Linked DNA regions of Kluyveromyces lactis. The protein of the gene in region 5 purifies or fractionates together with the protein of the main gene of each other region. This does not show direct contact. Links are inferred from orthologs where the notes say so. Each region holds a gene or a part of one and is shown on either strand. Other genes may lie near its edges. The genes, in order: NMD3, REA1, RSA4, ARX1, BUD20, NSA2 and NOG1.

What was found.
Region 1: the proteins of BUD20 (region 5) and NMD3 purify together in Saccharomyces cerevisiae (affinity purification with mass spectrometry; 7 studies listed by BioGRID, with this or other methods). This does not show direct contact. The link is inferred for Kluyveromyces lactis from reciprocal best matches to the Saccharomyces cerevisiae genes BUD20 and NMD3.
Region 2: the proteins of BUD20 (region 5) and REA1 purify together in Saccharomyces cerevisiae (affinity purification with mass spectrometry, with the first as the bait; 4 studies listed by BioGRID). This does not show direct contact. The link is inferred for Kluyveromyces lactis from reciprocal best matches to the Saccharomyces cerevisiae genes BUD20 and REA1.
Region 3: the proteins of BUD20 (region 5) and RSA4 purify together in Saccharomyces cerevisiae (affinity purification with mass spectrometry; 5 studies listed by BioGRID, with this or other methods). This does not show direct contact. The link is inferred for Kluyveromyces lactis from reciprocal best matches to the Saccharomyces cerevisiae genes BUD20 and RSA4.
Region 4: the proteins of BUD20 (region 5) and ARX1 purify together in Saccharomyces cerevisiae (affinity purification with mass spectrometry; 10 studies listed by BioGRID, with this or other methods). This does not show direct contact. The link is inferred for Kluyveromyces lactis from reciprocal best matches to the Saccharomyces cerevisiae genes BUD20 and ARX1.
Region 6: the proteins of BUD20 (region 5) and NSA2 purify together in Saccharomyces cerevisiae (affinity purification with mass spectrometry; 7 studies listed by BioGRID, with this or other methods). This does not show direct contact. The link is inferred for Kluyveromyces lactis from reciprocal best matches to the Saccharomyces cerevisiae genes BUD20 and NSA2.
Region 7: the proteins of BUD20 (region 5) and NOG1 purify together in Saccharomyces cerevisiae (affinity purification with mass spectrometry; 7 studies listed by BioGRID, with this or other methods). This does not show direct contact. The link is inferred for Kluyveromyces lactis from reciprocal best matches to the Saccharomyces cerevisiae genes BUD20 and NOG1.

What each region holds. Positions count from the first base shown.
Region 1 is NC_006037.1:458,134-462,713, reverse strand, and holds NMD3 (ribosome-binding protein NMD3), read left to right. Parts: upstream 1-1,596; coding exon 1,597-3,141; downstream 3,142-4,580. Other genes in the region: ATP-dependent RNA helicase DBP8, read left to right, coding at 1-547; NOP19 (Nop19p), read left to right, coding at 748-1,341; ATG7 (Atg7p), read left to right, coding at 3,463-4,580. UniProt on the Saccharomyces cerevisiae protein: Acts as an adapter for the XPO1/CRM1-mediated export of the 60S ribosomal subunit. Unlikely to play a significant role in nonsense-mediated mRNA decay (NMD).
Region 2 is NC_006042.1:1,841,077-1,844,992, forward strand, and holds part of REA1 (AAA family ATPase midasin), read right to left. Parts: coding exon 1-3,916. UniProt on the Saccharomyces cerevisiae protein: Nuclear chaperone required for maturation and nuclear export of pre-60S ribosome subunits.
Region 3 is NC_006039.1:747,860-752,400, reverse strand, and holds RSA4 (Rsa4p), read right to left. Parts: upstream 2,665-4,541; coding exon 1,117-2,664; downstream 1-1,116. Other genes in the region: ALG12 (dolichyl-P-Man:Man(7)GlcNAc(2)-PP-dolichol alpha-1,6-mannosyltransferase), read left to right, coding at 1-145; IMG2 (mitochondrial 54S ribosomal protein mL49), read right to left, coding at 297-830; mitogen-activated protein kinase kinase kinase SSK2, read right to left, coding at 3,192-4,541. UniProt on the Saccharomyces cerevisiae protein: Involved in ribosome biogenesis. Required for processing and efficient intra-nuclear transport of pre-60S ribosomal subunits.
Region 4 is NC_006042.1:1,097,411-1,102,152, reverse strand, and holds ARX1 (putative hydrolase), read left to right. Parts: upstream 1-1,731; coding exon 1,732-3,447; downstream 3,448-4,742. Other genes in the region: PDA1 (pyruvate dehydrogenase (acetyl-transferring) subunit E1 alpha), read right to left, coding at 1-724; recombinase DMC1, read left to right, coding at 3,999-4,742. UniProt on the Saccharomyces cerevisiae protein: Probable metalloprotease involved in proper assembly of pre-ribosomal particles during the biogenesis of the 60S ribosomal subunit. Accompanies the pre-60S particles to the cytoplasm.
Region 5 is NC_006040.1:485,877-489,672, forward strand, and holds BUD20 (Bud20p), read right to left. Parts: upstream 1,507-3,796; coding exon 1,003-1,506; downstream 1-1,002. Other genes in the region: ubiquitin-specific protease OTU1, read left to right, coding at 1-836; RPL10 (60S ribosomal protein uL16), read left to right, coding at 2,145-2,807. UniProt on the Saccharomyces cerevisiae protein: Involved in pre-60S ribosomal particles maturation by promoting the nuclear export of the 60S ribosome. Involved in positioning the proximal bud pole signal.
Region 6 is NC_006041.1:1,204,893-1,208,755, forward strand, and holds NSA2 (rRNA-processing protein NSA2), read right to left. Parts: upstream 1,728-3,863; coding exon 942-1,727; downstream 1-941. Other genes in the region: small subunit rRNA maturation protein LCP5, read left to right, coding at 1,955-3,142; VFA1 (Vfa1p), read left to right, coding at 3,436-3,863. UniProt on the Saccharomyces cerevisiae protein: Involved in the biogenesis of the 60S ribosomal subunit. May play a part in the quality control of pre-60S particles. Under normal, rapid growth conditions, high levels of NSA2 would allow the progression of pre-60S particles through the ITS2 processing.
Region 7 is NC_006041.1:2,149,753-2,154,950, forward strand, and holds NOG1 (putative GTPase NOG1), read right to left. Parts: upstream 2,939-5,198; coding exon 1,007-2,938; downstream 1-1,006. Other genes in the region: DTR1 (Dtr1p), read right to left, coding at 1-90; Sec63 complex subunit SEC62, read left to right, coding at 3,559-4,299; FZO1 (mitofusin), read left to right, coding at 4,700-5,198. UniProt on the Saccharomyces cerevisiae protein: Involved in the biogenesis of the 60S ribosomal subunit.

The DNA.
Region 1 (4,580 bases), on a different chromosome or scaffold from region 5:
CGTCAAATCAAGTTGCATTATTTTCGTTAATCGTACCGTAACGGCTGAAATCTTAAGAAGAACTTTGAAATCTTTAGATGTAAGAGTCACGTCACTTCATAGTCAAATGCCACAACAAGAAAGAACGAACTCTGTACAAAGATTCAGGGCACAAGCTGCGAGAGTTCTTATCGCTACTGATGTCGCTTCTAGAGGTTTGGATATCCCTATTGTTGAACTTGTTGTAAACTATGATATTCCTGGCAACCCAGATACTTTCATTCATAGAGCTGGTCGTACAGCGCGTGCCGGACGCCATGGTGAATCACTATGTTTTGTAACAGAAAAGGATATTCAAAGAGTAGAGGCAATTGAGGAAAGGATTAATAAAAAGATGGAAGAGTTCACCGATGTAGGTGATACAGCCGTGATTAGGAAGTCGTTAACTAAGGTTACAGCAGCAAAAAGAGAAAGTCTCATGGCCATGGATAAAGAAGGTTTTGGTGAAAGAAGGAAACTCCAAAAGAGAAAGAATGAATCCAAAGAAAAGACTCATAGACGTACATAAACTCACATAGTTGATAGACCTATCCACATATTCCATTTAAAAATCAGTCACGTGAATTCTGATTCTTCCTTAGAGAGTAATCACTGAAAAAAAAATGGTAACTTATTCTTTGAAGCGATGAGATCGAACCAGATGAGATGCATCGGCCGCCATAAAGGTATACTCTTACAATCTAACAAGTAATACAGACTCACCAAGCCATGTCAAGAGCTCAGGAGATAAAAGAAAAGCAAGCACTACTTGCTAAATTTCAAAATGGGTTTAGCAGTTCCACTGCTAAGGTGCTCGGATGGATAGAGGATTCTAAGACGTCATCTAATGATCTAGCAAAGGAGGATAGCAACGAATCAAAGAAGGAATTTTTCCAGTTGCCTGTCATTCAAATAGGAAGCGGTTTATCATTTGAGAACGCGCAAAGTACTGATGATACCGATATACATACCATTGGAGAGTTCATCAAAAGTGATAAGAAGGTCAGCTCTTTAGCCAAAAAGAAAAGAGCTACCAAGGACGTGCAACAGAGAAACAGTATACACAGAGTGAGGAAAGACGACTCCCAGGCTATGGTTTCGTTAAAACATAAGATAAGGAATCAGGAAAGACAGAAGATACGTAACGAGCTTCCGAGAGGCACAAATGTTTCGAAAGACCACAGTAAAAACCAATATTATACCAAATCGACTTCATCGCATTCCGACTCTTCCTCGGATGAAGAAGATATGGAACCTAAAGTACAAAAACATTCCAAGAAACAATTTGGCTTGCTATTTGCTGGAAAGAAATCCAAACGTTGAACGTGTTAATCATTCTTTATAAAGTGTAATTCTCCTGTATATAGACTAGCTTAATATGCATAGATGCATAAATCCAAGGTTCAAAGTCACGTGCAAAATTTCTTTTTCTTGAGGGTTCGCAGTCTCTTTTAAGAAAAATTTTGAGAAAGCTCATCTCATCGCATCTTGTTCTTGCACAGTCTGATAGTGCTTGAAAGCTGATTAATGTCTGCATTATAGGTATTCCAGCAAGGGCAGAAGTATCCACCGAACTCGATGAATTACACTCCGTTAGATCAGAATCACATGCAACATCAGCATGCTACAGTGCTATGTTGCAGTTGTGGTGTGCCTATGGATGGGTCCTCAGGGCTAGTTATGTGTTACGACTGTATTAAGTTGAATGTCGATATTACAGAAGGTATTCCCAGAGAGGCTAATGTTTCTTTCTGTAGAAACTGTGAGAGGTTCTTGCAACCACCAAGCCAATGGATTAGGGCTTCTTTGGAATCTCGTGAACTTTTGGCGTTGTGTTTACGTCGTTTGAAAGGCTTAAACAAAGTTCGATTAGTGGATGCATCATTTATCTGGACCGAACCTCATTCTAGACGTATCCGGGTCAAATTGACCGTTCAAGGTGAAGCTATGGCTAACACTATTATCCAGCAAACATTTGAAGTGGAATATGTGGTGATTGCCATGCAATGTCCGGACTGTGCTAGATCTTATACCACTAATACATGGAGAGCAAACGTCCAAATTAGACAAAAAGTTCCTCATAAGAGAACTTTCTTGTATTTAGAACAGTTGATTTTGAAGCACAATGCCCATGTTGACACCATTTCCATTAGTGAGGCAAAGGATGGTTTAGATTTCTTCTATTCTCAAAAGAACCATGCTGCTAAGATGTTGGATTTCTTAAATGCTGTCGTACCTATCAAATGTAAAAAATCCGAGGAGTTAATCTCTCAAGATATCCATACCGGTTCATCTACTTACAAATTCACTTTTTCCGTGGAAATTGTTCCAATTTGTAGAGATGATTTGGTTGTTTTACCTAAGAAGCTTGCCAAGTCTTTGGGTAACATCAGTCAATTTGTCATCTGTTCCAAGGTTTCTAACTCTCTCCAGTTCCTGGATCCAACCACTCTTCAAACGTGTGATTTGACTGCTCCAATGTACTGGCGTGAACCTTTCAGTGCATTAGCTGAAGTGTCCCAACTAGTTGAATTCATCATATTGGACGTTGAACCTACTGGTCAAGTTAGAAACAAATGGGTATTGGCTGACGTTACTGTCGCTAGATCTTCCGATCTAGGCTCCAATGACCAAGTCTATTACGTTAGAACACATCTTGGTGGTATTATTCATCCTGGTGACAGTGTCATGGGTTACTTTATCGCTAACTCTAACTATAACTCAGAGCTCTTCGATGGTTTAAATATTGATTACGTGCCAGACATCGTTCTAATCAAGAAACTATATCAAAGAAAGACAAAGAAGAACAGAAAATGGAAGTTGAAGAGAATGGCTAAGGAACACAAGGATATCGAAGCTTCTCAAGACTACACTTCAAGACAACAGAAACAAGAAATGGAACGTGCTGAAAGAGATTATGAGATTTTCCTACAAGAATTGGAGGAAGATGAGGAAATGAGACAAACAATCAATCTATATAAGAGCAACAAACCAGCAGAGCACGAAGGCGAGATGGAAGAAGATGAAGATGAAGATGCTCCACAAATTGATATTGATGAACTATTAGATGAGTTGGATGAGATGACTTTAGAAGATCAACAACAAGGTGAAGAAATGCTATAGAATTTGGTTTAGTCTCTTCTTGTTTGGACAATAATTACAATATATATTTACGAGATAGGCAAGTTAGTTGAATTTACTCATCATCTGCATTAGATCAATGATACAATGGCCGTCTTGTATAGTGTACACTAGTGAATATTAATAATTGGCATGTTTCAGGGTAACAATGCTTTCCTGAGTTTAGTTCATTCTTGTAAAAAAGACGTCGATTCGTAATACTACCCTGATACACTATACCCTTAACTGCAGTGCATAGATAAATAAAGTAAACCAAGAAGTACTATTCTTTCTTCATGGAACAAAACCTGAGTACCAGGAAAGATGCTTAACGATCTTAAGTTTTCACCAGCTTTTAAGTCTTTTGTTGATACCTCGTTTTTCCATGAATTATCAAGATTAAAACTTGAAGTGTTCAAGTTAGACTCTGCTGAGAAAGAATTGTTCTCTGCACTAGACCTTGAAAATATCACTTCTAACACTGTTTCACTCTCGCTTAGAGATGACAGTTTCGATCCTGTTCTCAATAATGAGGCAGTGACTTTGAAAGGGTCAGTGTTGAATTTTAATACTATCGAATCATTCAAATCCTGTGACAAAGTAAAGTTTATCAAGGAAAAGGGACAGCAATTACTAGAACAGGGCCTCAAGAATGGTCTCAAAGAGTGTGTTAGGTTTTATGTCATAAGCTTCGCCGATTTGAAGAAATATAAGTTTTATTATTGGGTTTGTATGCCTACTTTCCAGTCTGAGGGGTCATCGTACGAAATAATCTCAACAAAATCAATCGAAGATGGTGTAAAGAAGGATATATGGGAGCAGAACAGCTTTATCTCCTGTGTTGTGGATGGAAAGATTCAGGAAGCATCACCTCAGTATCTCAAAGTATGTCAGAAAGTCATCTTCAAGGACTTCAGTCGGCTGAAGGGCATTCCTGCCGCAGTTACTAAGAACTTTCTAACGGTTTGGAGTCAAATATCCACAAGGAATACGTACACCATATGTTTCCTTCGTGATGATAATTCCAGCTTCGCGGCAGAGATCAGAGTTACCGGGAGCAATACAGGATGTCTTAAGGTCAGCGGTTGGGAGAAAAATGGTCTTGGAAAATTAGCTCCGAAATCGGCTGACTTAAGCTCATTGATGGATCCCGTGAAGATAGCAGAACAATCCATTGATCTCAATCTCAAGCTAATGAAATGGAGGATTGCTCCTGACATTGATCTAGAAAGAATAAAGAACATTAAAGCATTGATCTTGGGGTCAGGTACCCTAGGTTGCTACGTGGCTAGAGCTTTATTAGCTTGGGGTACTCGTCATGTAACTTTTGTCGACAACAGCACTGTCTCTTTCTCTAATCCGGTAAGGCAACCATTATTCAACTTTGAAGATTGTGGGCGACCAAAGGCCGAAGCTGCCAGTGACTCTCTGAAGAAGATATT
Region 2 (3,916 bases), on a different chromosome or scaffold from region 5:
AGATGTATCTGTGATTTCTTCCTGATTGTTTTCCTGGCTTTGCGATTGCGCGTTACCAGAACTACCAATATCTTGTTGTTCTTCAGAATCAGCTGCATTAGAGCCTTCACCCTTTGCACCCGAATCTTGTTCGACAGCAGCATCTGTATTTATTTGATCTTTGTCATCTTCTACACCCTCTAATCCGTCGAGGCCCTCTACATCTTCACCCTTTTCATCTTCACCTCCTTCTTGTTTTGGTTCATCTTGCGGGTTTTCAAGTTCACTGTCTGAATCTGCTATTGCTTCTTCTTTGATATCTGGTTTCTCTGTATCATCCTCTTTATCAAGAGCCTCTTCGGTTTCACTATTATCATCTCCATCCATATCAACGTCTTCATCTGATTCGCGGTTTTCATCAGCGTCAGATTCTTCATCAATGTTCGTTTGTTCATTTTCTGTATTTTCTGGCTGCTTACCTTCTTCTTCCTCCTCATCTACCTCCATTTTATCCTCGAAATCTTCTTCTTCTTCTTCAGAGCCATCTTCTTCATTATCTTTGTCAGAATCCAAATTCATGTCCTCTGGTAGGTCCATTGTTTCTACTTCCGGGACGTTATTTTCGAGATTCTCGTTTTCATCATTTCTAACTTCATCTTCTTGTTCTCCAACATCTTCTTCCTCTTCTTCTTGCTCTTCACCGTCATCATCGTTATCTTTTTCTTCAGTTTCCATTTCATCAGTTTCTTGGTTTTGTTGGTGGTCTTCCGGCTTGACATCATCTTCTGCTTGTTCCTCTGATGCTTGTACATCATCGGCATTAGATTTTTCAGGCATGTTCTCGGAATCCTTCTCTTTAGAATCATCTTCAGCTTCCTCTTCCCACATCTTTTCATCCAATGCATTAGGATCATCCTCGTCAAGATTATCAATCTCTTCATCTAGCTCGTCTTCATCGTCCTCGTTGTTATCATCTTCTTCTTCGTTTTCTTGATCAGATGCATTTTCAAGGTCTCCGGCAATATCGCCTTCCATTTCAACAGCATCATCTTCTTTTTCTTCGTCGTCTTCGTCGCTGTCATTTCGTTGATCCTTGTTCGGTTGTTGAGCATCTTCTAACAAATCCTCATCTTCTTCAACATCTTTGCTATTATTTTGAGCTCCATCTCCATCTCCAAGACCTGTACCCTCCTGCAAATTGTTATCTTCGGTCTCTTCTGAAGGAGGCTCTGGAGAACAGAATCCATCTTTAGCGAGATTGTATAGCATATTCGAGAAGATATAAGTCGATTTGCTAAATTTGAAATAATTCTCTGAAGTTGTATTCAAAATGTCATTCAACATGCTGAAATAGTGATTGATAAATGGCATGGTAAATGAAACAGCTGCAGCAACCATTGGAGATGATTCTGCCGTAAATGACGTTGACTTAATTGTAGTGACAAGATCATCAATCAAAGCAAAGATCTTGTTGCAGTTAGCAATCTTGATATTTGAGACAATTCTTCTATTAAGCTCGATTAGCCATTTATCATCCTCTTCAGATATGGGAGTAGTATTGTTTTCAACTAGTTTTTGGACAGAAATTAAAATGGCAGTACTGATCCGGCGTAATTTTCCATCAAGTTCTTCCAGCGAAGGGTCAATAGTATCAAAGATAACATCTCCATGAGAAAGAGCTTGTTGAAGCCATGATTCCAAAAGATCATACACAAAGAATGAGTTTGTACCATTCATAGCTGATATAGCAGAAATAAATTCCTTAAGGAAGGCATTGAAGTTTTCCAATATGTTTTCAGTGGTATCACTGTATATCCTAAACATTTCAGATTGTGCTAAGAAATCTAGAAGTTTCTGTTTAGACGAGTATAAATATGAAACAGTGGATCTTGGAACCTCATGAGCTGTACTGTCTTCCACGTACTCAAGAATGTAATCGATCAATTGAGGCAACCACTTACATATGTGCCTGAACGTTCCAAAATTATAAGATAGATCGAAATGTTTCAAAACATGGCAATCCAGGGAAACACTCTCAAGGTCTAATCTCAGGGATTCAATTTTACTATAAGTGTGCACAAATATAGAGAGCGGTTGTCTGCTGGCAATCAACGAAAAAATTAAGTTCTCGGTCATGGCCATACCTTTTTCCAAGTAGGACACTGGAATATCGTCTGTTGGGAAAGCAATTGCATTTTTCAATCGTGGAAGCAGGTCCAAAATTCTAAAGAAATAGACATCAGAAGAATCTATCGCGGTTTCTCTAAATGATTTTGAGTTCGTCAACACTGATACAACACTTTGTTGGATTTTTCTAATATCTTCTCTAAAGTTTGATTTCAAACCAATTCTTTTGAGCTCCTTTAAGGAGTCACTGAGTAATTTACTCTTTTGGGTCTTCAAGGTAGCCAATAATTTCTTCTTTTCCTTTTTGTAGACTGTAGGGGTTTCTTCACGAAGCCTTTTCGCTTCTTTTGAGATGTAAAGGGCATACTCTAACAAATCTGGGTAATTTTGATTCGTGATTTTGGAAATATAAATAGAAAGATTCTTCTGTGTGATGTAGATATCTTTTAAAGATTTTGATCTACTTTCCCATCCCGGAATATTTGTGACAATAGATTTGGCCCCAGAAACATCGATAGACCTGAAGTGGGAGATTGTTACTCTTTCAAATTGTTTAGTTACTGGCAGAGCGGAATCTATTCCGCTTTCGATCATAGAAGTTAAGGGTTCGGAAAGTAGCGTTCTATATTTGCGAACAATCTTGAACAAACTATTGTGAGACCGGCGAGAGCTTTGCTTCAAAGCATCGATATTCACATCCTTCCAACTTGCCAAAAGAATCACCTCTGATATCTCTTTTTCAAGAAGCTTTTTTCCTGTTTTTATTTTGTCGTTAACAACAGAAGTAAACTGCTCATAGAAGGAGATGATATTTTGGAGGGCTTGTGAAATTATTGATGTCTTTCCATGCATCACTGAAACATGTTTGCAGAATGCTTTTACAAGTCTTAGACGATTTGCGAATTCTCCCAAAGTGCTTTTACTGAAGAAAACATTCAAAGCAGAAAGAAGGGAACCAGATCTCTCAGAAACGTCAATATTGGCATTTTCTGTTCCCACTATAATCGTTTCGAAAAGATAGAACCACCAATTTCCAATGGTCTTTGTACTGTTCATATCCTCCATTTGGAATAAAGCCTTCCAAGTGTGTAGTTCCAACCTTCTCCAAGAAACTATGAGATTAGTTATTGAGTCAACGTGAGCCTGTAGGGAGACTTTAGAAGATGCATACTTTTGCCACTCCACCACGAAGGTGTAAATTTGCTCTATTTTCTGCAAGAGTCTTGCCATTGGTGTTGAAACAGGATAAGAAATAAATTCTTTACAGACGCGGAAAAGATCCCGCAACGTTGCATGCTCGGGCCATTCTTTGAGTAAAGTGTTGACATTGTTCCACAAACCTTGGATTACATGCTGTGCCTTTTTGGTTTCAATTCTCGAAGTGCCTCTGTAAAAGTCAAATATTTCAGTGTTGCTAGAATCTTTGAAAGAATTAGTTTTCTCAGACAAAGTCTTGATGGCAGCAAGAACCATTGATTCGTTCAAGTTATATAGCTTGAAATCAGAGCAACTTCGTAGCAAAATAACAGAAGTTTCAGATCCTTTTCTCATCACTTGACTCAAGGAAACATTTGAAGCGTCCTCGAATATTTCAATGTAAATTTTAGCGATCTCGTAGTACGTATCGATTAAAGATGTGGCTGATGATTCCTCAACAGGAGAATCGAGTGAAACTGAATCTTCGTAATCTGGGAACATTGCCTTAAATTCGGCCTCAATGTCATCTGAATTGTCATTGAACTTAAAAAGGCTGTTCTTTTGCTCTGCTTCTTGCTCACTTTTCATTCTTCGCAATGACCATCTATAATAT
Region 3 (4,541 bases), on a different chromosome or scaffold from region 5:
ATTCACTGAACAGTATGCTAATGGCCTTGACCTTTATGTCACTTGGGAAAGAAGCAGAGACTTTACTTTCATCAAGGAGATCTTTGACAATGCATTGGCTATGAAAGATGTTTTCTACACGTACCAAAAAGTCCCAATCTTGTAATACAAGTATGCCCGATGTATATATCTAAGTCGTTAATATATCTTATTATTACTGACACTATTTACAGTTTTTATCACATGCAGGAAGAAACAACCATGTAAGAATATTTACATACGCATCTCCTGTAAGTTTTAAAGTCATGGGAATAAGCTCAAAAGGTGGTAGCCAGAGCCCTCTTCACGTGCTTCGTGGCATCACCTTCAATGATAATTTTATTTGATTGAAGTATCACCTTCCAGTACTTCTTTGGAATGAAAGGAAGCCTTTCTTGTAGATCGTTTCTTAGCTGCACAGGATCCCCTTGAATCTTTCTGATTTCGGTGACAATCTTATTGCTGTTTTTGTAGTCAGTGTACACAGGTAAATTTCCGTTAATACTTCTTTGAATGAAATATGTTTTCTTCCCAAATGGAGCGGCTCCCACTACTTCCTCGGGGCTTACGTCTTCAAGTTTTGGGAATACTGTAAAAGGACTTTGACTGTCAAATAAAGCACTGAGTTCGGCACTTTCGGCATCAGATAATGGTCCCAATTTGTCCATTTCTGATTTAAGTTCATTTAAAAGCTCAATTTCTGAGTTTTCCTGTTGTTGTGGTTGCTGTGCTTGGGTTGATTGTAGTCTAGTACAAATCCGAAATGATCTTGGGCTCATAGCCGCAAAACTTCTTGTAACTCTTGTAAGCATTATTAACTAGCCGTTGTATTATTAGTAGGCTGTTGTGTGGTTATGCAGGTTTTCCCGGTGTACACCTTTCTTACTATATAGATAACTTATCGATTTCCTATGGTAAATGCCGGCTGAATCGTTCTTCATCTTTTCAACTATGCTTGAAGCTTTAATTTTTCAAAATTTTCAGCTTGTAAGAAGAAGGGACACCTGTGCACCTCATAATAAATGTAAAAGAAGCTATAACATACATAAGGCAGTCTATAATTTAATCATGCTAATTATTCAGATGCAGTGGATCCACTCAATGAGTCCATATCCTGACCATTTTATCTTTCCCACCGCTACATACACGTTTACCGTCTACAGACCAATCTACAGTGTAGACTTCATCTTGATGACCGGGTAGATCGACGGACAGTTTTCTAGTTTTGACATCCCAGACTTTTAAAGTGGTATCTTTGGAACAAGAAACGAGTAGTCTACAGTCGCTTGACCAAGCTACTTGGTAGACACTCGCTACATGTCCTCTAAAGGTGGATAGGAATTTACCATCCCTTCCATCCCATAATTTAATGGAGTTGTCAAAGGATGCAGAAACAATGTAACGGCCATCTGGCGAAAATGCAACGTGGTTGACGAGCTTTTGGTGGCCGGTCATTCTGGTAATAGGTTTAGTAGACTTCAAGGGGTTCCACAGATACATAGTAAAATCGTCACTGGCAGTTACCATCAGTTCTTCGAAGTCACCTTTTCTTTTAGCAACTTTTTCGTAATTTTTCAGAGCCTTCTGTTGGGCTTCTTCAGGTGAAGCAGGAGTTTCGCCCTTGTGATCGAACGCACCGAGTCTTAATGCATAATCTGTTGAAAGTGAAAGATGATTAACCCAATGGGCGTGTGATTTTAGGATATTGATACATTTACCGTTCAAATTCATGTCCCAGCATCTGATTGTTTTATCGTGAGAACCACTGTATAGAACATTTTTTCCACCCCACTTGACACAGGAAACAGAAGACGTATGGCCACATAAGGTTAAAAGGCAAACTCTTCTTGTTGTATCCCAGATTTTGATAGTTCCATCCTTGGATGCAGTTGCTAATCTCGGTTTGTCACCAGGTTTGACAAGATGGATTGGTTCCCAAGATAAGGAGGTAATCCATTTCGAGTGACCTCTTAAAGCATCACCATAAGGCTTACCTTTGCTTGATTCCCATAATCTAATTGTGTTGTCCATAGAACCTGTGGCGATTAATTCACCATCTGGAGACCAGGAACAACATAGGACCCAGTTGTGATGGCCTTGTAACGTGCACATACGCGTTTGAGTGTCACAATCCCAGATACATGCAGTATTGTCACCAGCACCGGTAACCATCCTGGAGCTTGTATTTGGAGCAAATGCAGAACACAAAATTGTCGAGCCATGACCAGCAATTGCAGAAGACGACCGAGTTACTGGTTTTACTTTGAAGATAGCTCTTGGGGTATACACTAGAGTCAAAAAATCTTCGGTAGTTTTCAAACCTGGTTTTAAAATGGATTGATATAGATTATCTCTAATATCTACCATTTCCTCATCTGCATCCTTCTTTTTGTTGCTAACTAAACAGCTAAACGTGTATGGAACAGGATCTGCCGAGTCTCCATTTAACTGATTCAACAATTCCTCCAGTTGCTGCTCCGAAATACCACCTGGAACCCTTAGAGAACCTCCAACAGTTTCACCACTGTCAAAAGCTTGGAATTTAATGAGAACATTTGGAAGGTCTTTGGGAATAAGGTCAACTCCACGTTCAGCTTGAGCTTCTCTTCTTTGCTTCTTTGAAGGCGGTGGGAGTAAGGTTGCCATGTTTCGTTTGGATTGCTTGGCCTAACAAATTCAGAGAATTATTTTGGGCTCGTTTAATTACCTAAAAACTTCTTTCGAGAAAAGACCTGTGATTATTGCTGGAATACTAATATCGTTCACCAGAACCTTCTCCTTTTTAGGGAAGTCGACTTGGTAGTTGAAGCTCATCTCATCTCATCTCATCGGCATCTCAAAAGATTTTCTTGAACTTAAGAATTTCTTTTAGTTCACCACTTCCGGGTAATATAAATCTTTATTATGTTGAAACTATGCTCTGAATACCTTATGGGGAGCATCAGGCACAAAAAATTCCTAGACTGCAATTTACTTACTGGCAAGCAACTCACAGATAACGGAAAGTGCATGTTACATTGATACTATACGGATCCGGCATTGTTTAAAAAAAAGTCAAACAAAAGTTCCTATTATTATTATATATACATACAATACTTATACAAAAAAAAAATCTATGGTTACAATTGTTACATATGATCGTCATGGGGAGGAAACTTTTATGTCTATCAGAACTAGTTATGAGTTTCATTATTAAAAGATTCTGCATTGCCACCAAATGCAATGTTACGTATTTGAGAAATCCAGGGATCAAGTAACAATTCCATTGCAGTTGCTCTTTTATTGGCATCTTGTATTAAGCATCTGCTTATGAACTTTCTACCCGCAGATGAAATTTCAGACTTGGTTGGGAATTGCGGAAGGTGACCAGCTGCAACATGATACATGATAGCCCATTCATTGTCTAAGTTAGCCCATGGACGTCTACCGGTCACCATTTCCAGTACAACACAACCTAAAGACCATATATCATCGGATCCGAATTTTCCGTGTCCTTGACCAGTCACCGTTTCTGGTGCCATATACATCGGTGTTCCGATCATATCTTTCCCGCCTGTAGATTTGTTATTGGCATCCAGTGATATCCTCTTTGATCCGTTCTTTGCAATGAGTTTTGCGGCACCAAAATCTACATATTTGATAACGCCATTACGATCCAATAAGATATTCTCCGGTTTGATATCTCTGTGCACAACTCCAGATTGGTGCAAACATGCCAATCCCTCAAGTAATTGTAGTGTGTAAACTTGAGTTACCATTTCATCTTCAATCCGGCCATGTTCGAGTAAACTGGCTAAGGAGGAACCCTCGCAGAATTCCATAAAGATATTAACCTTGTCTCTGTGAACTTCCACACCATAGTACTGAACAATATTCGGGTGATTTAAGATCTCCATGACGCGCATTTCTTCTTTGAGAGATGGGAAAATTTGCTTCATGGATTTAGCATCTTGGATTTTGATCTCTTTTACCGCTAAAATATCACCAGTATCTAGGTTAACAGCGGAATATACAGTACCAAAGCTACCACTTCCGATAAAGCTACGCTTTTGCCATCTAATAGAAAGGTTAGATATTGAAGAAGCAAGAGATTTCAACAATTTGCTTTGATTATCGGTATCATCAATAACTTTACCAACAGAATAATGCCTTTTGACTTTGACAACCTTTTCCATATCTGTTATTGCATTCATACGCATCTCTGAATTAACAGCCAAAATCATATCATCGTCAGCATCATCGATATCAAAGTTTGGTCTTGTTTGTTGAGCATCAATCCTTTCAGCTTCTCTGGATCTTGCCCCTGTGATGTCGAAGTGAGATATTAACAATGACATACATCTAGCAATCTTCTCTTTCAACAACTTGAATTCCTTCTCCTCAATCCCCAAAATATTCCATCCGTTGGTCATACGCATAGCAAATTCCATTGCTGGGACACACCATCTAAATGTTTCTGGATTGGCCGGATCACATTCATCAAGAACAAAAGTTAACCAGTCTATGCTGATCTGAATCATAAG
Region 4 (4,742 bases), on a different chromosome or scaffold from region 5:
CCATACCGTACTTGTTGTTTTCACAACAGAAGACGGCTGGTAAGTTCCATAACTTGGCCATGTTGAAGGATTCGAAAACTTGACCTTGGTTAGAGGCACCATCACCGTACAAGGCAAAAGAACAAGCATCTTCGTGTTTGTATTGATGAGCGAAGGCCAAACCAGCACCCAATGGGACTTGGGCACCAACGATACCATTACCACCGTAGAAACCAGGGGCGTACAAGTGCATGGAACCACCCTTACCGAAGGACACACCAGTTCTTCTACCCATCAATTCAGCCAACACAGCTTGAACAGCAGCACCTCTCATGTAGGTGAAACCATGACATCTGTAAGAGGTGATGACGGTATCACGCTTAGTGATAGCGTTTTCAATACCAACGGCAATGGCTTCTTGACCGACAGAGGAGTGACAGAAACCTCTAATTTTCTTAGCCTTGTACAAAGCGTCACAGGCCATTTCCATTCTTCTAACGATAATCATATCCTTGTACATTTGTAGCAAATTGGACTTGGTGGTTTGATAACTTAATTCAGGAACATCCAAAAGATAACCTTCAAAAGAGGTTTCTGGCAAATCAATTTGAACTAGGTCATCATCACCTGGCTTAGTTTCATCAGCAACCTGGGACAAAGCACGGACGTTTTTAGAAAAGTTTCTAACCAATCTCAAAGAGCTGGACTTCCCAACCACAGAGGATTGAGCTTTCAAAGATAGCATGGTTTGCCTAATTTATTGTTCTTTTCGGTATTAACTACTATAGCGACCAACAATTAGAACACACAAATACACACTCAGCAGTAGTGATGGCAAAATATGTTGTATAGAGAAGAAATAAAGAAGAAGAAGCTCTGAGTTCCTGATTCTATATTAAAACAAAAAAAAGCCAACTAATGAACGATTCCTTGTTCCAAAAAATTTGACAAAAATCAATCAATCAATCAATCAGTCAGTCAATTAATCAATTGCTTGGCTCAGTATCACTGAAAGACCAAAAAAAGGTTCTTAATCACGCAACAACTGTTTCTCATCATATTCACAATTAAATCCGCCTTTAAATACTTGTGAACTTGGGAAAAAAACTTCAAAAAATTTCGTAGCCAGCCAGTCGGTATAGATAAGGGACTTGAAATAACAAGAAGTGGGTATAAGCAAGGTCAATTTTGCTCTAATTGGGGTCAAACTTGAACCGTTGGGTAGCTGATGATGCGGAGAGTATTGATATTCTACTTATTATGGGATATCTGACAGTTTCGTCTGGTGTAGGTAGAGTTTATTGTGCTGATTCAATTAGACAGACGGGATTGTTGTTAGAAAGAGTGGGAAAAGTGACGTGCACAGCGCGGTGTTTGGGTGGAACATGGGCAGCAGATCTATTACCCGGATAATATGCGGGTCATGAGTTCTAATGATACACATTACCCGAATATTAATACTTTTGGCGCACGTGATCAGAAAGTGATTTCTTTTTCATTCTCTTCTGATCGAGGTCCGGGTAATATTTTGGAAAATTTTTTGAAATATCTTAGTGCTGTGTGGCAGGAAAGGTTGTATCCAGGAAAGAAATTTGGAAAAAAAAAGTATCAGTGAAAACTTTAAAGCGATGAGATGAGATGAGGTAAAGAGAAACGAGGTACATACTTACATCATTATCATAGTGTATCGTTCCCTCCTTTGTATCAGAAAACAGCTAATACTAATAATTTGTGGATAAAATTATCCGTACTATGGCGTTACAAATCTCAAAGGAAGACACTCAGGTGTTATTGAAAGATAAGAATGTATTGATCGAACCAACAATTGAGAAATATAGAACTGCAGGTCAAATTGCTCAGACTGCTTTAAACTTTTTGATCAGTTTGATCAATAAGATGTATCATGAGAAGTCTATGGAGCCGCTACCGATTCATCAACTTTGTTTATTGACTGATTCGTTCATAGCCGATTGTTTAAGTACTAAGTTCAACAATAAGGTTAACGAGAAGGGAATCTCAATGCCAACTTGTATTGATATCGATGAAATAAACGAGAACTGGTGTCCTGAAGTGGATGACATCGAAAACTTGTCCCGTTGGAACCAAAAATCTAGATCTACCAAATCGATCGAGCTATGTAACGGTGTTACTTCTAGTTTGTCTGGGTTTTTGAAAGTTGGTGATGTCGCTAAGATCACTTTGGGTTGTCACATCGATGGGTACACTTGTAACGTGTCCCACACCGTGGTCATTTACCCAACCGTTCAGGATGCCCAATCTGGAAAATTGCTACCTGAAGCTGCTTTGCTAGGTGGTAAAGCTGATGCTCTAGCTGCCACCCATATCGCTGTTGAGTCCGTCACTAACTTATTAGCTGCTGCAAACGATTTGACCAAACTTCCAGCTGATTTCAACGCTACGAAGGTCACTGGTTCCTTGATTAGGACCGTAGTTGACACCATTGCTCAATCTTATAATTGTTGCGTTGTGCCTGGTTCTCGTATCAGAAGAATCAAAAGATTCCTTTCTGGTCAAAACGAAAATATCATTGTCGAAAGAGACTTCAAAGGTGTCATTTGGACTGAGTCTCATCAGGAAGCTGCTATGCTTGCTAGAACCGTCAATGAAACTGCTGTTGATGTCAAGCGTAAGAACCCATTTATCACCGAAGATACCGTGGTCCCAACAGATGATTTTACCGTTGTCAAGGGTGAAGTTTACATGATCGATTTGAAGTTGGCTCCATTGCAAGGATTGGAGCCAGGTTTGATCACTTTACACACTGTCGATCAATTCTCCGGTAAATCTGAATCCTCTGATGTGGTGGCTAGACCAGGTGCCATCTGCCGTGATTTTTCAAAGAGCCATGTTCTAAAGTTAAGAGCTGCTAGACAAGTGTTGACCAGATTGGATAAACAAGGTGTATACCCTACCAAATTAGCTCATATCGCTGATTCTTTCCCATTGGACGTACAGGAGCCTGATTTCGAAACCATCAAGCAAGAAATCAAGCCATTCAGATTAGGTCTTTCTGAAATTTCTAACAACTACCTAACAATCGACAGAGATGTCACCATCGTAAAACACGTTCCTTGGGCTAAGATCTTGGATCTAACAAACCCATCCGGTGTGTCAAGTTATGACGCCATGGCAAAGAATAAAGGTTTATACCCAGGTTTCGAGCTTCCTCTACCTAAACTAGGTTTGTCCAACCTACAGTTGAAATCCTTGCTAAAAAAACACTCTACGCCAGTTCCTGTGGTCCGTCAATGTGTCACTGTAGCCATCTGTGATGAAGAGTTGCTAAGAATCAGCGGAAACCTAAAATCTAACTGGGTTCATTCTGTTTACTCTATGGATACTGCAAGCAATATCGTTGCAGGTATATTCAAACTGGCTCAATTGTCCGAGGATAAGAGATTTGGTTTGAAGATCAGAGAAACTCAACCATGGAAAATGAAATTCTAATTTATTCATTACCAGTATTAACTACCTTCTTTGATAGAACTACTTCAACAGATAACAAATTCTATTTCATACACAAACACCCTTTTCGCATCTGCACACAATAACTCTACATTGATACACCAGTTCATATTATATTCAATACTCGTTTGATTTCGGTAGCCCAAGAGTCTTGTTCTTATGAGTCTTTATTCTTACCAACCAATTGCAACAAAAACAATGTATAAATAGCAACTTCTAAGTATCTTGTAGATCTGTACACTAGCAAAATCATAATAGAACTCAAGCTCTCAACTTTGTCATTAGTTCTTCTACTATTAGTGTGTTTGCTTCGGAAGGATTATCAAAACGTTCAAAATGATGGCGGCTAATTAGATTTTAGTATAAAAAGGATTTGGAGTCAGAAACCAAATCAACAAACCCAACTACCAATGAATATGACATAGCGAGATATCTAGTGCACATAACTAGGAGCGAGAAGGTGATCCTAAAAACCAATAACTTTGCATTTCATTCTACTTGAAACGTCCCATTCCATTTCTATTTAAGCTGTCATGTCTACAGAGACAGAAACTAAAACCAATGTGGTCAATATTGATGAGTTACAAAACTTCGGAATTAACGCGTCTGATATAACTAAATTGAAGACTGCTGGTATATTTACCGTTAACACTTGTTTGTCGACGACCAGAAGGAATTTGTGTAAAGTTAGAGGGTTATCGGAAGTGAAGGTAGAAAAGATTAAAGAAGCTGCCAATAAAATCATCACCATTGGCTTTATTCCAGCAACTCTGCAATGGCAGATTCGTCAAGCAGTTATGTCTATCTCTACCGGGTCGAAACAATTCGATTCTGTACTAGGAGGAGGAATAATGACAATGTCCATAACTGAGGTGTTTGGGGAGTTTAGGTGCGGTAAGACTCAATTATCCCATACGTTATGCGTGACAGCTCAATTACCAAAAGAACTAAATGGACCTGAGGGTAAGGTTGCATATATTGATACAGAGGGTACTTTCAGACCAGAAAGAATCAAGCAGATAGCACAAGGGTATGATTTGGATCCCGAAGTGTGCCTTGAAAATATCTCGTACGCCAGGGCACTCAATAGTGAGCATCAGATGGAGTTACTTGAACAGCTTGGCGAGGAACTCTCTTCAGGAGAATATAGACTATTAATAGTAGACTCAATTATGGCCAATTTCAGAGTTGATTATTCAGGCCGTGGGGAATTGAACGAGCGTCAGCAAAAACTAAACCAACATCTTTCTAGATTGAATCGTATCGCTGAGGAGAAC
Region 5 (3,796 bases):
GTATGCGGTACGGATTCCCACCTCAGAGTATACTTTTTCAGGGGAATGAGGCTAAGACACTTGAAGAGCTAGGAATATGCAATGGGGAACGGATCATAGTGAGCCTGAGTAAAGCCGATGAAGCTATTGCCACCAGAACACAACCAAGTATTAATGCCAGTAAAGCAAATACACTACCCAATAAAGAAGTGAAAAAGAAGCCCACTGGTAAATCTGAAAGTGTACAGATAGATTCAACTAGAGCACTACAACTCCATGAAGTGCCCGATGACAATTCGTGTCTATTCCATGCTATATCCTATGCTGTCTACAAGAACATTTCACTGTCATCAGAACTACGGGGAGTTGTGGCGTCAGAAGTCCGGAGAGACCCATTTGAATATTCAGATGCTATTCTTGGCAGGCCGAATCATGAATACAGTGAGTGGATAATGAAACATTCTTCATGGGGAGGTGGTATCGAGATTGCAATATTATCGAAACATTTTCAGTATGCGATATACGTGCTCGATGTGGATGCACGTAAATTCGAGAAATTCAACGAGGATTTATACGATAAATTTATTATTATAGCATATAACGGAGTTCATTATGATACGGTAGAGATATTTGATGGAACTCAGCATCAAACTGTATTTGACATCGGAGAGAAAGATACTGAATTCCTTTTACAAAAAACACAGGAGATCGCGAAGAAGATGAAAAGAGAGGGGAAGTCTTTCAATACTGCAAGAGATTCAATTTTATGCAATACTTGTGGCACCACCTTGATTGGAGAACGAGAGGTGAGCAAGCACGCTGAGAAAACTGGTCATGTTGATTTTAGGCAAAAATAAAACAAATATAACCATTGAATAATATTGAAGAAAGAAATAGCACTTAATATATGAGCGTCTGTATATCTACCAGTTTATATAATTGCACTTTCGGTGTATTTCTCTTGTGTTAAATGATAATATACATTGAAGAAAAAGCACAGGAAGTGAAAATGTTTTCCTGCATCTAATCAGCCATTTGAATTTCCCCTTCAGCAACTACAGCTTCTTGCTGTGCTTGTTCCTGTACTGCACCATCAAGGTATGGCAAAGTGGATTCTGTTGTGCTGACGTTGGCCAAAGTGGTATCAAGATGTGAGGTTAATATCTTTTCGTTTTCCTCCTTTTGAGGACCAATTTGAGATTTGATCTGCTCTACTCTAGCCAAGAACGAGTTCACACCACACCCAACAGCAGCATCTGCTACCTGTTGAGTGTATGGAACACCTTTCAATTCCTTCACCCTTCTCTTATGGATTTTAGTCTTCAAATGAGTCTTTAAGGCATATGCAGTTTCGAAATATTTAGCACAGTGTATGCAGTAGTATTGCCCTAGACCCGGTTTAGTTTCATCTATCGGCTGATTCAGGAGACTATCAATTTGCTTTTGAGATGTAAGCTCTTCATAGATCAAATCAAGATCCTTTGTTCTTCTCTTCGTCTTGTAACGTTTAACAGAATATCTTCCCATTTTCCTTTCTTACCTTCTCCTATATTTCTGACAGGCTGGTACCACAGATTAACTTAAACTATCAAACAAAACCAATGAGTATCTAAGTCTCATAGAGAAAGAGATTCAATGATGTGTGTTTGTACTTCTTTCTTCGCACTTGGCTTTATCGTAGAAACACCGAGTACATAAAATTTTCTGCAATATCATGTCTCGTCTCATCTCATCTCATCTCATCGACTTGGAAAAGAAATGAAATTTCAATCAGCATCACGTGCATAACAACGCATCTGGGACTGCTATCCCCAACACCCAGACACTATTACATATTGGCATTCAACATATTTTTATGATACAAAAACAACCACAATAGGAAATAGAGCACGTGATTAGTAACTATTTTCTTTGATTTGTTTTCACAGTAGTTTCTTACCGTGTGACTTCGCTACGACTTTCCAATCTTTTTCAAGTTTCTGACAAATGCAAAAGCTTCCTGCAATAGTTGGTGGTAATCATCGAGATTTTCAAATGTAATAAAAAGAGAACATAATTTAATGATAATTATCGATATCTTTAACATAAGGTTTGATCATTCGCTTCAATTTTGTTTATTATTTACAGGAACACCGATCACCTATCACCGTCCAAAGTAATTCAAAATGGCTAGAAGACCAGCTAGATGTTACAGATACCAAAAGAACAAGCCTTACCCAAAGTCTAGATACAACAGAGCTGTTCCAGACTCTAAGATCAGAATTTATGATTTGGGTAAGAAGAAGGCCACTGTCGATGAATTCCCATTGTGTGTCCACTTAGTTTCCAATGAATTGGAACAATTGTCTTCTGAAGCTTTGGAAGCTGCTCGTATTACTGCTAACAAGTACATCACCAAGATGACTGGTAGAGATTCTTTCCACTTAAGAGTCAGAGTCCACCCATTCCACGTTTTGAGAATCAACAAGATGTTGTCTTGTGCCGGTGCCGATAGATTGCAACAAGGTATGAGAGGTGCTTGGGGTAAGCCTCACGGTTTGGCTGCCAGAGTTGCCATTGGTCAAGTTATCTTCTCTGTCAGAACCAAGGACAACAACAAGGACACTGTCATTGAAGGTTTGAGAAGAGCTAGATACAAGTTCCCAGGTCAACAAAAGATCATTATCTCTAAGAAGTGGGGTTTCACTTCTTTGAACCGTGAAGAATACGTTAAGAAGAGAGACGCTGGTGAAATTAAGGACGATGGTGCTTTTGTCAAGTTCTTGTCCAAGAAGGGTTCTTTGGAAGAAAACATCAGAGAATTCCCAGAATACTTCGCTAAGGCTTAAATTTTTTATGTGTTGAATCAATAATAATTTCATCGTCATTTTAAGTAACCTAACCTACATACTATTTTAGCTTACCATTATGTTTTGGAGTTAATTCAATATCATTTTTCTTTCCTTCTCTTTAATCTCAAGTATGGACAATTCTCCCGAATAAAATGATACAAACCTATCCTTTGGCAATTACAATCATACGTAAATAATACATATAGATCCGCTTGGCAAAAACTAGGATTCTGTTTTACGTACAAATAATATTTGATCCAATGATGTACTTTTCAAGTCGAATTTATGGTAATTTCCAAGTGCCATATATGCAATCTTAGCCTTCATCCTTTTTTCTAAACTTGTAGGTGAGATTCTTCCTCTCCCTTTACTTGTAAGGATCGACGATATGCTGAAGATATGTTCGATATGAGTCGATGAAACAGCAATGCTGTCCATTAGGTGATTGAAAAGTGAAAGGATGGGGCAGTTTTTGATATCAGCCCAAATCTTGTGATGAACGTCCCGCATAGTCAATAAGAGATATTCATATTCACTTAGTTTGGTTCCATTAGAAAGTTTGAACATACCAATAGTCTCTTCATAAACGGTACCGTTACAATTCATATGATCTTCAGTATACTGAACGTGCATTTTATTGTATTGGCCATTGAAGCTTTGGACTTCTTTTAGAACCATTGAATAGAAAATGTACCGGAAATGTGATTCATCTATCCTTTGGTCATCGATGGTTTCACTGCCATCATCAAATACAATACTCATAATACCAGGTATACGTGGCTGAGATGTTGTGTCCATCCCGTTTTTCACTTGAATATTTAACATGGGAAATAAGATATCTGTAACAGCGTCACTGACACATCTTGACAAAAGCTCGTTATTCTTTTTATTGTTGCCCTTTTCGTACTGAAGGTTTAGTTTTTGCATGAGGTATGGCAAATTTCTGTACCCACAATTGAAATAACTAGCAACTACCAATAATCGTT
Region 6 (3,863 bases), on a different chromosome or scaffold from region 5:
AAGTCCACCGTGGCCAGGATTATTGTCCGGCACTTCTAAATCAGGACGAGAATGTGAATCAAAAAGAGGGTTGGATTGAGCGAAGAGGCTGGATCAAAGGTACTGTAGTCACCTGCAACAGTTCTAATATGAGAATCTGTATAGTGCTACTTTCAGTATCACTATAACAGTAATTTAAACGAGACTCAAGTTGGATCATTAATTGGCAAAAGCTTTCTGTAGATGCAGAACAGGGGGAAAGAAGGTAAAGGTTAATGGGTAAAGGGGCTGTCCGTTAGGACAAATTTCAATACATACTGGTGGGGTTTGGAAAAAGCACTGATTGCTTACGGATCAGTTTCTGTGGTGAAAACTAGAACGTAGATCCAGAAATCAATTTGATCTGGGGAACTACTTCGTTTCCAGTGGGATCAATGATGTTCTTTTCCTGAACAACGTCGACGCTAGTATCTGTATATGGACCAGTGCTAGAATCTGACCTAATAAGTGCTGTTTTGAAGGTAAGTTTGTGTATATCAAGCGCAAAGAATGTGTATGTATAATACTGAATATATATATATATATAGATAAAATTATTTGGTATGATTTGGTAGGGTAGTACCCTACTTTATTGTGAAACAATAAAGATGAATACTTAGGGTAACCTGAGGGTCCAGAAGGTCAATTGACACGACGTGTGAGTAGCAATTAGTTCAATGCATTGGAATAGCTGGTATCTCAACGGCAGCGAGGCATGAAATTGTCAGTCTCATTGGCTATAATTCAGTATTTAACGCTAAATATATGATTAAATAATGATGATTTAGCCAGTACTTTCTAATAAGGGAACTCAGTTCTAAAATGAAATAGTAATATACAATAACGTAGCGGAGTGGGGGGTGATGCAATAGGGAATAATTGAGATGAGTAGGAATTTTGGTAGTAATAGGTTGTACTTGTTCTTACACAAGTAGCACAGCGTTGACACAACCGTCTCTATCTGGCTCATTCGTGATTTGAGCATATTTACCCCAAACCACTTTACCACCAGAAGTAACCATACCTAATTCCGAGACGTTCACTTCAATAATAGTACCCTTGGTTAATACACCCAACTGTGTGTACATTGGCGATTGAGGATTCTTCTTCACCGCAAGAATTGGCAAGAAAACGGTGACTCCAAGTTCCGGATGCGTCACATTAGCCTTCTTTTGTCTCAAAGCACTAGGTCTGATAATCCTTTCCATCTTCACAGGCCTTCTTGTAAACCCTTCACCAACAAACGTATGTTTCGTGATCATTCTCTTCCATGCCTTAGACTTAGACTTACCTGTCTTAACAACTTTGAACATCTCTTCCTCACTGATACCTCTGACCTTAGGCAAAGGAACAGAAAACTTGTCAGCCTTCTCCAAACGCTTCTGCTTGATGGAACTGGATATAGCCTTTGCAGTGTTGTTCTGTTCTCTGTCTAACAAATAAGTAGGCAAAGCCTCCCCGTTCTCATCCAACGGTTTGGACCCTCCTTTAACTTTACTCTGCTCATGAGCACGGATCTTCTTCTTCATAGCAACCTTCTCAGCATAACGCTTCTTAGCAAATTGCTTACCCTTCCAACCAGTCAATTTCTGAGCCTTTTCAGAGATCTTATGAGCCTCACGGGCTTCTCTCTTACGTTTTCTCTCATCGTGGTCTAATCTACGACCATGTTGCTTGATGTGCTGTTCGATATATTCGTTTTGAGGCATCTTTGTTTTATTGTAAGAACGACTTGTTCGGTGATGACTTACTTCTAAATCACAAACGGACACACGGACTCCTTGAATGGACTTCTTACCACATGTTAACCCATGCGATGAGCTAGTTGTTCAAGTTGTCTTTGTATGCTTTTCTCATTGAAAGAAAAAAATTCAATAGGAAATGTCGAAAAGAAACGTAGTGAAAAAAAAAATTTGGAATCAAGCGATGAGATGAGATGAGATGGGTATCAGCCAGATACAAGTTTGGTTGTCTGGTGTGGGTTTGGCATAGGTTCGATCTACTGTTATTGATGTATAAAACCTCATTACATTCTATTGACAAGGGTTACAGCGGAAATATAGCCATGTCTGAGGAGTTAGGAACTGTTTTGAAAACGATTAGAGATTCTTTGAAATCTTGTGGAGAAAGCTTGGATAAGTTAGAAGAAGTCTATGATGATGAGGAGACCCATCCTTTCCAAGGTTCAGCGGTGGTAGGTCACAAAGGTGATAAATTAGAAAAAGTTTCTCTACTTTCTTTGAAGAATGGGAGTATGCTATCGTATTTGAATTCGCTTCTGTTGGTATTGGGACAGAAATTGAATAAAGAGATGGTTGTTGATGAGGGTAGAGTCAGGGCAGTGGAACAACGAGTTGTTCTTGAAAGAGGTGTGAAGCCCTTGGAGAAGAAGTTAGGGTACCAGCTGGATAAATTGACGCGGGCGTACATTAGACTGGAGAAAGACGTTGAAGAATCCAAGAAAAGAGCCGAATTGCAGGGACTGAGTGACGTACGTGCTTCCCAGGAAGAAGTATCAGACTCAGATTCTGATAGTGAAGAAGAGATGCAATATAGGCCGAACAGTTCAGGAATGGTCAATAACACATCAGTTGGAGGGAAAGCCAAGGGGAAAATCGCTGTCAAGAGTACTCACAATGAAGAAGATGTGGATGATAAAGATAACGTTTATAGACCACCTAAGATCAGTGCCGTTCTGCCACCAAAGCAACATCACTTCGAGGATAAATTCAACGCACAAGAACATAAGGATAAGAGTAGCAGGTCTCGTATGCAAGCTATGGAAGAATACTTGAAGGATTCCTCGGAACAACCGGAATGGGAAACTTCTATCGGTGCCAATATCGTCAACCATGGTAGAGGTGGTGTGAAGACAGCAAGAGATACAGAACGTGAACGTGATGTTCAAAGATTCGAAGAAGAAAATTTCACTAGATTGAACCCCAACGGATCCAAGACTGACAAGAGAATGAAAAAACAAAGAGAAATCATGGCCAAGGTTAATATGATCGCCGGTGAAGATTTCAGTATCTTCAACTCCAAGCGTAAGTTGGAGGATAGTACAAGCAGAAGAGGTAATAAGAAATCTAGAAATGCTTGGGAAAGAGCCAAGAAGAAGTTGTAAACCTGAGGTCCTTCTTTTTCTATGTATAAATAGGCTAAAATATCCATACGTCTCTATTGTCATCATATAGTGTCAAATACGTAGTTTATAAATCGAATGATAACGGTGTTGCACTGCTCAAACTCTAGCTTTGATGTGGTTTGTTTCGTTTCGTTTTGTCTCGTTTTCTTCATATCAAGGTGTAATCACCAATAATTAATTAATACAATCTAAGCGTTCCAACTTTGCAAGATATAATCACCACCTATCACCCCTACTAATCTCCTACCAGCGTACAACTTCCAGCGCCCCTGATGAAGAACGAATACACCAGAAAGAAAGTCTCAGCAAAGGATAGGAAAGCATGTCTGATATGTGGTAACCCTACAGTCACAGTTTTGTTCAATGGAAGCGGACCTGATTGGTTTTATACATGCGATATACATCTAGTTGATAACCCGCAGTTTGTACAGCCTCTATACCCAAAAGAGTATCACGAGTCTCTGGTTAGTCTTAAGCCACTCAAAGAACGCATAGAGGAGCTACAAAGGAAAGAGCGAGGTACCTGGGATCAATGGGTTAATAAGATCTTTGACTCTAAAAAGCCATCATCATCTGATGATAAGAAAGAGGACAGGGATGACGCGAGTTCTGACGACAAGAAGAAGACCGATGAAGCAAACTCACTTGAAGAATTGCAGCAAACGTACCAAGCGACACTTGATAAGCTAGCTGCATCAAG
Region 7 (5,198 bases), on a different chromosome or scaffold from region 5:
TAAGCCTTCCATTTTTTTTTCGATATTTTGAATTGTCTTGCTGTTGTGAGACCCTGATGATAGAATACTGTTACTTCGATTCACGCCCATACTTGTATAGCGATAAATTAAGACTCTTTATTTATAAAATCTGGTATTTGAGCCAATGGTCTTGGATATGCTCCAAAGCGTTGTTAGAGCAAAACTGAATATCTTGTTTTACCTTCAATATGAGTCTTTATAGCTCAATGCTCTCTTATTTGCTCATTTTGTGACATCTTAAAACTGACACCGGGAATTTTTCTTCGAAAATCATACGAACACTTTTCAGACGGAAAGCACCTTTTACAATTGACATATACAAAGAGCATATATCGTTTTGTAGAGTTTTATTGGAGCTTTTATGTCACCCGTACTTTCAAGTGCTAAAATCTCATGGCTTATATGTTACTGAGAGTCAATTTTTTGTGAAAGAGGCCTACCTAGATGTGTGTTGTGAAGCCGTCCTTTTTTTTCTTGCCCTGTACTAAGGGCACATAGGAGAGAGAAAAAAAAAACTGTCGCCTGATAAACCGATAGAGAAATAATAGAGGCAATCAAATATAACTCAAGCAAAATGATGTTGGTCGACGGTTAAATATTCCAGGTATACTGAGATTGTTTTGGTGAAATATTTATGTCAGTGTTTCCTTTTTTTCTATTTTATTTAGATCCTACAATTTTCATCCTTTTTATTCTTCAAGATTAGTCAATAACTTTCAAAGATAAAATTGTTACTGAGGTCAGAGGGATGTTGGTTATTTGGTCAAGGAAAAGCAAATCAAAGGTATAACTCTTATAATTTTACAGAGTACGTAACTATTTTACAAATAAAGGAGTAATAATTAAATTTAACCCACCCAATGCAGACAAATAAATGAAAGTAGTGACTAATATATATAGTTCAATAGAGATAGAAAAGAAATTGGCAACACGATAATATATGTTCGAAATCACCAGTGATGGAAAGGAAGGAAGAACAGACAGTTTAACGGAAATCAGTCTTACCAACACCACGCTTACCTGAGAACAAATGTTTTGGTAGAGAGGCAGTAGCATGTCTGTCAGATTCACCGGCTCTGGCCATTCTGTTTCTTTCTCTTCTTTCTAATTTGGCCATTCTTTCAGCCTTCGATCTCATTGAACCATCAGCAACACCGTCTGTCAATCTATCTGTCTGTCTTAGCTTACCAGCTGGAGCAGAATCTTCTTGATCACCGTATACCACGTCAGCACCAGTTTGCTCATATCTGTTCTTTTCAGCAGCGACTCTTTGCTTATCTTGCAAAGCAGTCATATCGTGACCTAAAGAAGACATGTGCTTCTCCATGTCACCATATGTCTTTGCCAATTTAGAACGAGGCATGGTACCACGGTTCTTCAATGCCTTTCTGTTTCTTGAAGCATTGATCATCTTCTTTTGTCTATCTCTAATCCATTCTGCCTTTTCTCTGATCTCAGAGATTTCGTCAGCATCAAATCCTTCGTAAGTTTCTTCTTCGTCGGATTCATAGAAGCCTTCAGATTCTAATCTTTCTTCTTCTTCCTCTAAAGCTTGTAATTTGATTGCGATTTCTGGATCCAAGAAGTCATAAACGTTCTTACCATCTAAGATTTCTGGCATGACATCGTTCTTCCATTCATCGTCTTCCAATAGATACTTGTCCTTCAAATTAACGTTGTATACACCGGCCCCACCGTTTTCGATTTCAATTTCTTTAGCCAATTTTCTTCTGTTTGGATCTTCTGGATCATATTTCTTCATCTTAGCGATGGCTTCTGGAATATATGGAGTTCTGTCAATACCATCATCACGCTTTTGAGGTTGAGCGACGTGGATCTTGTTTAAGACGTTAGTGATTCTAGCTTGAGATTTTAGCTTGTTTTCAATTCTGGAAGCCAACAACTTTTCACAAGCCTTGTTTCTAACAGCCATAACGTTATCTTCTTCATGACAAGAAGTGGTCATGATTTCAACACCTGGAACTTCCAAAACAGTATCCAAAAGTTTCTTACGTTCTTCGTCTAAATCTTCAGGTTTAATGATATCAGTCTTGTTAATGACGACCATGACGGATTTATTGGCAAACAATGGTTTGATCGAATGGAATAATTTGACTTGAGCTTCAATAGAGAAACCACACTGTTCTGATAGATCCATGAAGTACATAACAGTAGAACGCAAATGAGCAATAGCATAAATGGATTGCATTTCGACGTTGTTCATTTCATCCGTAGGTCTATCCAAGATACCTGGAGTATCAATCGCTTGGAATCTCAAGTATTTATAATCAAAATGACCCACATATAGCGACTTGGTGGTGAAAGCATAAGGTTGCACTTCGACATCAGCCTTAGTGATACATCTCAAGAAAGAGGATTTACCCACATTTGGATAACCGCAAATCAACAAAGTTCTGGTGTTTGGGTCGATGGATGGCATTCTACCCAAATGTTGTCTAACTTGTTCCAAATACACTAAAGGATCCTTCAACTTCTTCACAATGGTAGCCATTCTACCAAGAGCGGCTCTCTTCAATTGTTTACATTGGAAAAGAGATTGACCGAATTTTAACAATCTTGTGTAATCTCTTTCAACTTGTTCGACCAATGTCTTAGCACGACTCACAGCAGCCAAAGAAACTTTGAAATGATTCTTTTCATACAAAGTATCCATCAAATCCCTATGGAAAGGATGCACGTCGTTAATATTAGGGAAACCTTTCAAAATATCATCAAATTTTTCCACGAACCCTTCACCGGTGAACTTCACCTTTCTCATGTAAAACGCTCTGATACGAGTGATATTGAAACCTGGTCTAATAACAGTAGGTGTCTTTCTTTGAGTTCTGTTCAACACAATGTCCAACAAGTCATTGGCAGGAGCCACGGTCGGAATATCTTTCCAGGATAATTGCATTGTTGCTTAATTGATTTGACGTAAACTTTGGGATACACGCACACACGGGGACAACAAAAAACAATTAAACTAGCAATAATGCAGTTAAGCTATGCTTAGTTGTTTGAACAAACTTCCAATCTATTCAAACTACCTGTCAAACGGATGTCACACTGATAATCAAGCTCTGTCTATCACTTCGAATGCACAATGAGATGAGATGAGATGAGATGAGCTTGCCGTTTGGAAAATTTTCCCACTACTGCAAACCTTTGAAAAGAAAAAAAAAATTGTGCTTTCAGGATTTCTTTTTCGTATGGATCTCAGAATTGACCGTTAAAGGCATACACATTGGTTATGTCACGTGACTAAAGCACTTTCTTTTGAGACTGTCGGGGTAACAATATATTTTACTGTTAAAATGTATGTGAACATTTTATTTACGGTTTACGTTTCAACTTTCAATATATACAGAAATATCAATGAGATTTTGATCTGAAAGAATACAGCTTGAGTCCAATCTCTAGATTCATTATAACTTTCTAATCACTACCTGATAATTGCCTAATTTCCGGTAGAATTGCCTTATCCGCCTTTTTTTTTTGAATTTTTCTCTTCAAATATAGATTTGTTTCGTTACTATGTCGGAACCAAGCCCACAATCTACGATAGCCATTGCCAATCTACTCAGGACTCATAGCGACTTGAAGCAAAGACAAGGATTGTTCCAATCGCGTTTAGTTGACTTCTTCCGTTATAAAAGATTTGTTAGAGCTTTGAAAAGTGATAAATATAAGGCAAAGTCCAAAAAACAACCCGAATTGTACCCCGCTGTGACAAGCGATGAAGATGCTCGTAACATTTTTGTTTCCTTAATCAAGGCCCAATTTGTCGTACCAGCGGTTAAATTACATTCTGCAGAATGTAAAGAACATGGTCTAAAGCCAAACAAATCATATCCAAACTTATTATTATCGAATAAAGCGACTCTACAACCAGATGAATATTACGTCTGGTCTTATAATCCAAAATCAATTTATGATTACTTGACTGTGATCGGTATCATAGTCGGTGTGCTAGCATTCGTGTGTTACCCATTATGGCCTCCATATATGAAACGTGGTACTTACTACTTATCCATTGCAGCATTGGCACTTATCGGTGTATTCTTTGGTATTGCAATTGTGAGATTGATAGTTTACTTGTTGTCATTAGCTGCAGTTAGCGAGAAGGGTGGGTTCTGGCTCTTCCCAAACTTGTTCGAAGATTGCGGTGTTATAGAAAGTTTCAAACCGCTATATGGATTTGGTGAAAAGGAATGCTATAGCTTCCTGAAGAAAGAAAAGAGAAAGCATAGATCAGTTGCAAAGAAGCAAAAATAACTTCAATGTAACGGACTTCCATCCCAGACTGTACATTAGCAATTTAACTATCACAGAAGGTGTATGTTCATTCTTTCGGTGAGAATCACATACTAATATCACATATAAACATACAAACATATATAAATATAGATATATGTACTCATACTAATATCAGTAGTGACATCTTTGGTTTCTGACACTAGAAATCACCTTCTTTTAAAGTTTTATTTTGCATGAATTGATTTAAGGTCAAGTAAGAAAATGAAAAACGCAGCAACAGTAATGAAAACAGTAATGAAAGCAGAAGTTGCAAACAGTTAGAAAAATAATGCCAACAGGATACCACTCGCTTCCAATCCTAGTATAGGTATTATAACTGAGCGAACGGCCGCACCACAATATTACAAACTTCTGCAACATGTCACAGAAGGAAATATCGCAGAATTCTAATAGAAGAAGCTCTAAATATGAAGATGAGTTGAGCAACGATGCCCCGTTTGAAATTTCATCACATCAGTTGGAGTCAAGTACAACTTTAACAGATGTTCAAATGAGTAACCTTCTACAAAGGCATTCTTCTCATCGTCGTGATAGGTCGAGAGATCATATGTTTTATTCTCATTTGACACAACAATCATACTCTCTCAACAGAAACAGTCTTCTCGATTCCATTACCGTGGTCAGGCCTTTGATCAACGATTTGATCACTGAAAATAATCAAAGAGCCATCTATATTCCAGAGCATTCTGAATCTTTGGACGTATTGGAACTTAAAGTCAAACTAGATGGTAGGGAGAATATGCAACTTGATAAGAGTGCTTTGGCGCAGTTATTCAAAACACAAGCGTTATCTGCGATTGACCATTTGATTAATTTACAAACTCGTGTACAGGATACTTCTTCAAAAGTTTTCATAA